2 linked regions of the Drosophila melanogaster genome follow. The protein of the gene in region 1 binds, or shares a complex with, the protein of each later gene. Each region holds a gene or a part of one and is shown in the gene's direction. Other genes may lie near its edges. The genes, in order: CCDC53 and SWIP.

What was found.
Region 2: CCDC53 (region 1) and SWIP share a complex: the UniProt entries of both Drosophila melanogaster proteins name them as parts of the WASH complex.

Annotation. Positions count from the first base shown.
Region 1 is NT_033779.5:8,039,104-8,042,382, forward strand, and holds CCDC53 (Coiled-coil domain containing 53), read left to right. Parts: upstream 1-2,002; 5' UTR 2,003-2,045; coding exon 2,046-2,090; intron 2,091-2,149; coding exon 2,150-2,595; intron 2,596-2,655; coding exon 2,656-2,695; 3' UTR 2,696-2,776; downstream 2,777-3,279. Other genes in the region: RpL36A (ribosomal protein L36A), read right to left, coding at 2,885-3,022. UniProt on the Drosophila melanogaster protein: Acts at least in part as component of the WASH complex which may regulate wash nucleation-promoting factor (NPF) activity and is required for its membrane targeting during endosomal sorting.
Region 2 is NC_004354.4:16,311,727-16,318,477, forward strand, and holds SWIP (strumpellin and WASH-interacting protein), read left to right. Parts: upstream 1-1,982; 5' UTR 1,983-2,092; intron 2,093-2,153; 5' UTR 2,154-2,155; coding exon 2,156-2,671; intron 2,672-2,732; coding exon 2,733-2,939; intron 2,940-2,995; coding exon 2,996-4,096; intron 4,097-4,158; coding exon 4,159-4,411; intron 4,412-4,465; coding exon 4,466-4,620; intron 4,621-4,686; coding exon 4,687-5,113; intron 5,114-5,177; coding exon 5,178-5,383; intron 5,384-5,443; coding exon 5,444-5,887; 3' UTR 5,888-6,024; downstream 6,025-6,751. Other genes in the region: CG9915 (uncharacterized protein), read right to left, coding at 1-1,156, 1,222-1,240; Cyp1 (cyclophilin 1), read right to left, coding at 6,456-6,751. UniProt on the Drosophila melanogaster protein: Acts at least in part as component of the WASH complex which may regulate wash nucleation-promoting factor (NPF) activity and is required for its membrane targeting during endosomal sorting.

The DNA of each region.
Region 1 (3,279 bases):
TACATACATATAACCAAACAATATAACCCGACCCCATATTAGCGAAAGAGCGAGAAAAAATTGTAAATTAACATTAATTAGAGGACAGTCGAGGTGAGACTTTGATGAACGGCGGCCGGGTTTATATACGCAGGTAGCAAGTCAAAACACACACACACACGCGAAAATTGTATTTAACAATTGGTACATGCAGAATGCTTATATAATTTCAATTGTCATTACCAAGGGGAGTACGCAATGCTTGATGGATTAACCACGACCATGTGAGGATGAGATATAAATAATAACTGCAGGCAAGCTATAAACGTATGCTAAGCTATTTATTTAATTTATGCCTAGTATTAACGAATGAAAGAAAGTTACAAACAAACAAAACAAACAAAATGTTGGCGCCAATCGCTGATCCAATGGATTTCGTAGTTGAATATAAATAGATTCGCTTACCATGGATGCGTACTCGTAATTTTAATCAAGTAAATTAATAACACGATGAATGAACAGATTTAGATATGTGACTTGAACGTGAACGCCGAGCAACTCAATATTAGTTTTTAGTATTACCAATTATTATTATATTATTATTACAAATTACATTTACGTGAGCCTTTCACCGACCGACACTCTCCACAAACCTTAAAAACACCCAAAAACTTGATATTCGAAACCGACGAATCAGAATCAAAAACGATTGCGATCTGTGTACACCAAGCAAATCCTCTATTATTTAAATTACGTATTTTAATTTACGCCTTAGTTGTTACAATCGAGAATCCGAATCGCCTTTTGGATTACCGCGGTGATCCGAAACTCTGATGAGCCGATGATGAATGATAATGGTAATAATTAAAATAGTTGTGGACGACCATCGGGGGCAGCCACTCACATATACATATATATATATATATATGTATATATATATACATAAAACTATTGATTTCTAATTTTAACTGTAAATTCTTGATTTTTTATTACCGTGTATTTTTATTTTAAATAAAGTTTTACAAAAAGAAGCCCTGTGACTTGCGTCTGCCTTTTGATTTCTCACAATTCTCACAAACAGCGCACAAACTATTCAGATTCAGTGATGAGAACGTTGTAGACCAGCTGGTTCTCGTTTGCAACGGTGGCAAAAGTTAATAACTTTCACTTGGCATTTTCATTTTCGAACCGTTCTCGCTGCTGGCAGCATTTTTGATTTCTTAACTCAGTTTTGCGAACTACACCGCACAGAATTGAAAGCATTTTCGTTTCTACAAACCATTACAAATCCACTGCCGACAAACACAAGCTGCACGCATGCGTTTTGTTTCAACAAAGACCGAGAATTCGGATCAGCAATGAAATTCTCAAAAAAAAAAAAATTGCTAACAAAAAGTAATGTAATTCTCCAAACAAATACAAATACAAATAATAAATAAAACGCGGATCCGATTTGGCATTCCAACTAATACTTAAGCCGCAGAAAGCGACGCCGAGATGGGCACGATAAGCATTATTTAACTAAGTCAAAATAAAAGTTCATTGTAGATTTGAGCATAGTGAGAAGGTCCCAGGTCCTAATGGAACACCCAGCACATAAGTTTATACATACATATATAAATAATAATGTCAAAGGAAATGCATATTAACTGAACGATACTTTTATAATAAATTGACGAAGAAGTGCATAATACTCGGAGAAATAACATTCACACATTTCATGTTAAGATACAATAAAGTGAATAAATAAAATATTTAAAACAAAATGGTGGATTTGTTGTTGAATGGGTTTCTAAGCTATAACTATGTATTTATGTATATTATTCGTTTTTTTTCACTTTAAAAATGAAATTTCAAAACATTTAAATATGCACACAAGTTTTTTGAAAGAAACTTCAGTTCTATTTCATTTTTAAACTAGGCGCCAAGTTAACTGTGTTAAGTTACGTGAGAAATACCAAATTTTTGGATCAGCTTGATGTTGAGCGAACAATATTTAGTATCGTCAGTCAGCCTGGCAACCCAGAAAAGTACTAAAATAAAAGACGGCTGGTGAAAATAAAATAATGGATGCAACTGCAGCAATCACCGGCAATGTGGACAAGACCCAGGTATGGGACTTATATTCAAGGGTGAACTGCACCTGCAGCTCTCAACTCTGTTCCTCCAGATACCGCCGCTGAACCAGAAACGCATCCTGGCCTTCGTTAACCATTTCCTCGTCAGCACCTGCACCTTTCTAAATGAATTTGCCCTGGGCTGTGAGACGAAGTTCGTGGAGATGGAACGGCAGCTGCAGAAGACGGAGGCCGCCCTCATCATCCTGGAGGCCAAGCTGGCGTCTATACCCACCGAGCACCATGTAGCGACTGAGGCTACCGAAGCGCCAGCGATATCAAACCAGCAACGCAACGAAGAAGCATCCATGGTGGACACCACGGAACCACCGACCACCGAGAATCCTACGGAGCCGGAACTCCCGCCTGAATCGGTTGGTGTGCGCGCCTGTGAAGATCAACGTTACAGAAAGTTCTTCAAAATGGTGCAAGTGGGTGTGCCCGCACCGGCGGTTAAGCAGAAAATGCAATCCGAAGGTCTGGAGCCGCGTATTTTAGAGTAAGTTCCGTGGAGAGGTTTGGCCAAATTGAAAGCTCATCAAGCTCATTTCCATTGCAGCACACCCGATCTGATCCTGGCGGATGGCCAGCGAGAGTGAGCTGCCTGGCGCAGAGCGTGATCTGATCTTGTGATATAGCACATGTTGCTACACCTTGCAATTAAACATTTTTTAAAGCTTACGTCTACAAGTTTATTTTGTTTTATTTGCCGCCGTGCAGCGACGCGAAAACAACATAAAACCACTTCGTTAGCGAAAAAAGGATTTTTAATGGTGTAAAGAAGGTGCCTAGAACTGGATCATCTGTCCCTTGCGCTTCTTGTCACCGCCCAGCTCGAAGTGCTTGCAACGCTTCAGGGGAGTCTGCTTGCGGTATTTGCACTCGGTGCACTCCATACGCAGCACAATCTTCTTGGTGGTCTTGGCCTAAAATGGAATTAGAACTCCAGTTAGCAAGCGGCATACAAATGGTGGTCATGAATTCATTTGGATTGTCTGAAGTTGCCGGTGGGGCGTTGTGGGCATGGATGCCACACAACGTTGCCTTCACGGCCGCACCAGTGCAACAACAGTTTTGATCTGGCACAGTTTTTTCCCACCAAAAAGCATAATGCTCAACGAGCGCAGCGATTTAGTTCTACGAAGCGCCATTCCAGGGATTCCAATCTAGCCGCCATTAGTGT
Region 2 (6,751 bases), on another chromosome or scaffold:
CGCCTGGATCCGCTTCTAGAACGTCTAGAACCACTTCTAGAGCGCCTGGATCCACTTCTCGAGCGACTAGATCCACTTCTCGAGCGACTGGATCCGCTGCGGGATCGTCTTGATCCACTCCTCGATCGCCTGGAGCCCGAACCACTGCGCGAACGACTCGATCCGCTCCTAGAACGTCTGGAGCCACTGCGTGAGCGTCTAGAACCACTGCGGGAACGGCGAGATCCGCTGCGAGAGCGCGCCGATCCACTACGAGAGCGCCTGGATCCGCTCCGGGAGCAAATGGAGCCACTTCGGGAGCGTTTAGATCCACTGCGCGATCGCCTAGAGCCACTTCGAGAACGCCTTGATCCAGATCCACTGCGAGATCGTCTAGATACAGAGCCGCTTCGCGAACGTCGAGAACCGCTCCGCGATGCATTTGAGCGTCTAGAACCGGACCTACTGCGAGATCGCTTAGATCCACTGCGAGAGCGACGTGATCCACTGCGCGATTGCTTAGACCCACTGCGGGAGCGGCGCGATCCACCACGGGATTGCTTAGACCCACTGCGGGATCGCCTAGAGCCACTGCGGGAGCGACGTGATCCACTGCGGGATCGCTTAGACCCACTGCGTGAGCGGTGCGATTGCTTAGATCCACTGCGGGAACGCCTAGAGCCGCTGCGGGATTGTCTAGAACCGCTGCGGGATCGTCTAGAGCCGCTGCGCGAACGTCTGGATCCAGCAGGCGATCCCGGTGCTGCGCCAGAATGACGGGAGCCACTGCGGGACGGAGCGGAGCCGCTCCGCGACCGCCGGGAACCGTTTAGCGACTGCTTGGAGCCACTGCGCGAACGCCGGCCACTGGCTGCCGAGTGCACCGATCCGCTGCGGGACTTATGGGATCCGCTTCTGGAGCGGGATGCGCTCTTCCTGGTAGCACTGCGACTGCGACTACGCGAGCGATCGGCGATGGCCTCGGCATTATCATCACCATTCTTGGGTGCCGGCGAAGGAGACTTGCTCTTGCTCTTCTCTGGCAATACTGGCTCGAAATTGGTTGCGTCGGGATTGGTATCTTGAATTTCCTTTAGCTCCGCTTTTGCGGCCGTGTCTGTTGTGGTCTTCTCGAGTGGCTCGGATAAGGTCTCGGCTTCGTCGCCGCCGGCCTTTTCTGAAAATTAAGTGTATAAAATGGTTAAACAAGAATTTCCATTAAGAATCAATTTGGTAATCAACCTATTTCAGACGTTTCCATGCCGTACTAATTATTCCTATAAATTTTTAGTAGTACACAACCAAATTTGCCTAGTCAGTTGGTCAAACTGCTTTCAGGCTCAAATTAAATAATTCCTGCAATGACTTATAAAATACGACGCGATTTTATTGCTCGGCATTTGTAAGGCCAGTGGAACGAATGGAAACGGAACATCAACGCTTGTGTGTACACATACACTAATGCATACACGCTGTTTAGGGCCCTTATACACGACAAGCCTTTTGTTATCGATAACAAAACTTCTATGATAAGACATCCGAAATAACTTATTCTACAAAACATTTAAGTCCAAAACTTAAATATCAAAATTAAATTTGTTTATGGACAAAAGTCTTGTTTTAAAAATAGACTGCGACGTACAGGTATTCGTGTCAAGGAGTACGATTTTAATCCTTGGAAATCGATAACCAAACTTATAGAAATTGATTTAATTTGTTAAGTCAGAATGAAAACTAGGTATTGCATATATTCATAGTCATTACGATTATGTATTTTTACCGCTGTTTCTTGAATCAAAAATTTATATTGCTTCTTATATAAATAAAATGAATTTATTATCTGAGGATTATTTTTGCTTATAAATTGTATAAATAAATCATTTATCGGAATAGACATGCTACCAACTTTTCCATTCAATTAATCGCGATTTTCGATTTTACACAGTTTTTGGGTTTTAACTACGCTTGTTTAAACAAAAGATATCGAGAATTTAGCGTTATCGAATCGGAATCCACCCACTTGAAATGCCCCATCCCTAAATTTGCCATGAGAAAACCAAAACAATAATATTTTTAAAATTGGTAGACATGAAGGAAGAGCAAAGCTCTATGTGTATGAAAACGCCGATATCAGCTATGGAATACTATTCTTATCTATATATTTTCTATTTCAGCTATGTTTGCCGAGGATATCCTACGGGATTACGGCTCCTTCATATCGGAGCACGATGGGAAATTGAAATTATTGCGAGATAAAGTGCCTAATCGGGATGTTTCCGAGTCTGCACAGTGTGTATATATGTCGCCCGTGGTCGAGGTAAACTTTATGGGCAACGATTCCATGGCTCCGGACAGAAGCTTTGAGGAATCGGAGCTGGTGGCCAATAAACCGCTGACAACTCTGGCGAATCTGTGCAATCAGTGCAGAAATCTGTCCAGGAAGGCAAAACGGTTCCAGCTGGCATTCCTTTTCAGCGACTTTCGATTAGATGATACGCTCCCGCCACATACCCACACATCCGAGGGTTCCGCCGGCTTGGAGGGATCCTTGGTCCGCATGAGCAGCTCCATGGACTTCTTCTGCCAGGTTTACTTCTTGCTCAATCGCATGATTGTGATACTCCAAAACCTTTGGAGACAAATAGCCGCATCTGTTAGCGTCCCAATGGACATCAATGAAGTCCACATATTCGTAAGTCAACGATCGAACTCACATCTCAAGTGTAGTAACCAATTGAAGTCGAAACTTGCAGGCTGTCTTTGATGCAATGAGTGAGTTACTGGAACACATAGTGGTATTCAATGAACTGGCGAACCAATCGAAGATATCCACCATGTGGGCGCTGTACAAGAAGTGGCTGATGAACCTATCCAATAGCCAATCAGCGAACTTGGAGCTCAATGGCCTTAGTACATCGCTAATGGATATAGAGAATCTGATCACCAAGGATTTCTTTCGGGTAAGTCAAAGAAAAACGTGAATGGTAACCGCCCTTTCATGGATATTTCCAAACAGATTCTACTGGACAATTTGATGGAATTGAAGAAGCAATTTGGCCTGAATAGTGTTAGCCCCATCACCCAGCATTCCAATGCCTATATTCGTAGGCAGCTTCTCGACGTCGACGCGAATCCGAGTAACGAACTTAAAAACTATGAGGATCCCAAGCACATTATTCGACTTACCACCTTCGTGGTCGTCGTCCATGAGCTAGGCATCCAGATGGAGGGAAAACTGGTCAAGAATGTGATCGATTTGGTGGCCAGGCATAAGCAGGTGCCTCTCAACCGAAGCGTTTTCTGGTCGCCTTCCGGATTCCTCTCTCTACATGCCAAAACCCTGATGAAGTCTTCAGCCCGATCGCAAGATGGACAAGGCCCAAAAGTTCATAGCACAGTATTGGAGAAGTTTAGGCTTAGCGATCAGAGGACCTGTCGCCAATTGGGCGTCCAACTATCGCTGTGGTCCATCCAAATGCAAAGGGTATTCGATGTGGGAGTCTTTGGACACCTCAAGACTTTTCTGCAGTTGATTCTCAATGGACACTCCTATGCCGATCAAGTTAACCTGCTGGCAGTCGCGCTGATCAATCGGCACGTGGCTCTGATGACGCCCATGACCAGAAACGATTGGATCGTCGTCTCTCGGTTGCTGCAGTACCTGAAGGTCATTCAGAAGACCTTTGAGTCAAACCAAATCAATTTCGTGCGCTTTATCAGCTCACTGATACAATGGCAGAAGCAAAAGGTCATACACCTGCTGCACACAACGAAAAAGAAGATAGTTGTCCTCAAGTTGCTGCAGCGCAAGATCAACTTTTTGGCCACAATAAAGCTGGCCGAGAAGTCCATTATGGGATTTCCGAGCAAGCAACGTTTGACTTTCGTAAATCTAGCCCTCGGGGAGTTTCTAGATAATCGCCTCCTGCCCGCCGACAATCAAAAGTTGATCAAATCGATCCTACATCGTGTTAATAGTATCAGCGACATTATGCGGAATATTGGTGGACAACTTAACACGTCGGAGTCCTCGAGTCTGGTATATAATCACTGGTTTCTGGACACTTCGGTGCTTAAGGAGTACACCGAACTCCAACGCAATCCCTACTCCTTGCAGGTTGGTTTCTTACTCAGTTTCTGGCAAAGCAACTTCATGTTTATGCCATTTATCATCGGCAGAACCTCGTGTCGGTGAGCCATCATCTGGACAAGATCATGGCCATGTTCAGGGGTTCAAGGTGTCCCAAGCAATCAGCGAATGACTTGATCATTGAGTTTTTGAGCAACCACCTGGAGTTCTTTCTGCGCGTGGAGGCCCTTTCGCATCTCTTCCAGAGCCAGGATCAACCATTCCAGCAAAGTGCCTTAGACTATCGTCTCTGCATCAATGCAGTTGCAGTTGAAAACGATGGTGATTACAATATTATAAAAGGTAAGATATCGGTTACAAAACTGAGAGATCATGCCATTCATTAACATATTTTAGATCATCTTGAGAACTATTTCACTGCCACGTTCTACAACTTAACGACAATCGCTCCGCACGACTGGAAATCGTATGAAAAGATGCGTCATTTGGCCAACAAGGTGCTGCAGCTGCAACCCATCGATGACCACCTGCCCAATCAGATAATTGACCAGGTAACCAATTGAATCATCAATAAGCAATCTCTTCTATTAACCAAACAATTCTTTCCCACTTTCAAGGGCATAGACGTGCTGCAGATCATGCGGAATATACACACTTTCGCCTCCTCGTATGCCTACAACATGAACCTGCAGGTGTTCGTGGAGACGAACAGCAGGAGCAAGCACCTCGACATCATTGGCACCCGGCACGTGGCCAACTCGGTGCAGACGCACGGCACCGGTATCATCAACACCACCGTCAACTTTATATACCAGTTTTTGCGCCAAAAGTTTTACACCTTCTCCACCTTCCTCCACGACGAGCAGATCAAGTCGCGGCTGCTCAAGGAGCTGCGTTTTCACACGGAGCACAAGCACAGCAAGTCCTATCAGTCGTATCCCTATGAGCGCGCCGATAGTTTTCTTAAGAAGATCAGAAGGCTAGGCTGCTCCAGCAATGGCGAGACGTATATGGATCTTTTCAGGAAGGTTATCACACAAGTCGGTAGGTGGTTAAAGACCATAATTCAAGAAAATGCTTAAAATATAAACGTAAATATTGCTTTTAGGCAACGCTGTTGGCTATGTGCGCCTCCTGCAGGCTGGAAGCAAGAATGCCAACTTCCGGAATCGCTCGTATAAAACCAGATTCGACAGCAACTTCAGTTGCGGGGGCTCCAAAGTGCACGAGGCTACGGAGGGTTCCATCAGGGAGTACGAGAAGAGCCTGGGTCACATGAAGGAGTGCTATTCCGATAGCACAAATTACTTCAAGGTGCAGTCTACGATCTTAACAAGTTAGGTAACCAGCTTAACCCATGGATTTATATTGCAGCTTCTTCTGCAAGGCTTTCAGCCCTTTTTGTGCAATCCACATAACCACCACCTGCGAACCTTCTACCTCATCACACCGGCGCTCATCATGAACTACATTGACTACCGGGTCAAGCAGAAGCTAAAGATCTACAAAAAGGACCAGACCAAGATCTCGCTGTTCGAGGATGGCTTCGCCATCGGCCTGGTCTACATCCTCAACATGCTGAACCAGCAGACGGAGTTCCATGAGCTGGGCTGGAGCCAGACGATCACGCAGCACCTGAACGCGGAGCGCTCCAAGGTGCGCGACATTTTGGCGGGCCAGCAGCGGACGGCGCCGGAGCAGCTGGACGAGAAGCTTCACCAGACAGTGGCGATAACCGAACGACATGTGAACGCCTACGAGCATGAATACAATCTATTGTACGCCACCTTGAGTAGCTCCGAAATATTCTTCCAATAAAATATGTCCATTTACCAAAACCAAAGATCCCAGCAGTGACAACAAACAATTGAGTAGTTGGTTGCCGTTTATTCAGATTTATTAAGACGAAAATACAATTCCGATTCCGGTACATAGCGTAGAACGTTGGTATATATATATATATATGCAATTAGATAATCAGCATTACTAATACTATTATTAGTAGTAAGTAAGCCAACATCAAAAGATCAAACATTTTTCTAAGCCCCTCTCGACTCTTGTCGTCTCATTGTTTTTCTTCTTTGTTTTTTTTTTTGTGAATGGAAATGTTAAAGTTACAGATTTAATGCATATTATATAGCCAATTGAACGCTTTCTGACATTGGTGGGCACTAATTCTATTCACTTTTGGCCCCCACATACAATTGATTGGCCAAAGGAAACCCAACATGTCTATTGAAAATATGTTGGTTTGTTATGTATTTTTCTCGTAATATTACAGTACAGTAATTGGTAAAAAAAAATGTTTTGGAGAAAATGCAAATGGTTTTCGTCTTAACAGATTTTTCTTCTTGCAATGTTGCTGTTGCTTTTGCATCGCACCTTCTTAAAGAGAACCAGAGTTAGCCACAATGATCTTCTTGGAGGTCTTGCCAGACTGCGATCCATAAGATTCGATCTTCTTGACCACATCCAGTCCCTCGACGACCTCGCCGAAGACGACGTGCTTGTTGTCCAACCAGGCGGTCTTCACAGTGCAAATAAAGAACTGGGAGCCGTTCGTGTTGGCGCCAGCGTTGGCCATCGACAGGATGCCGGAGCCGGTGTGCTTCAGCTCGAAGTTCTCATCGGGGAACTTGTTGCCGTAGATGGACTTGCCGCCAGTGCCGTTGTGGTTGGTGA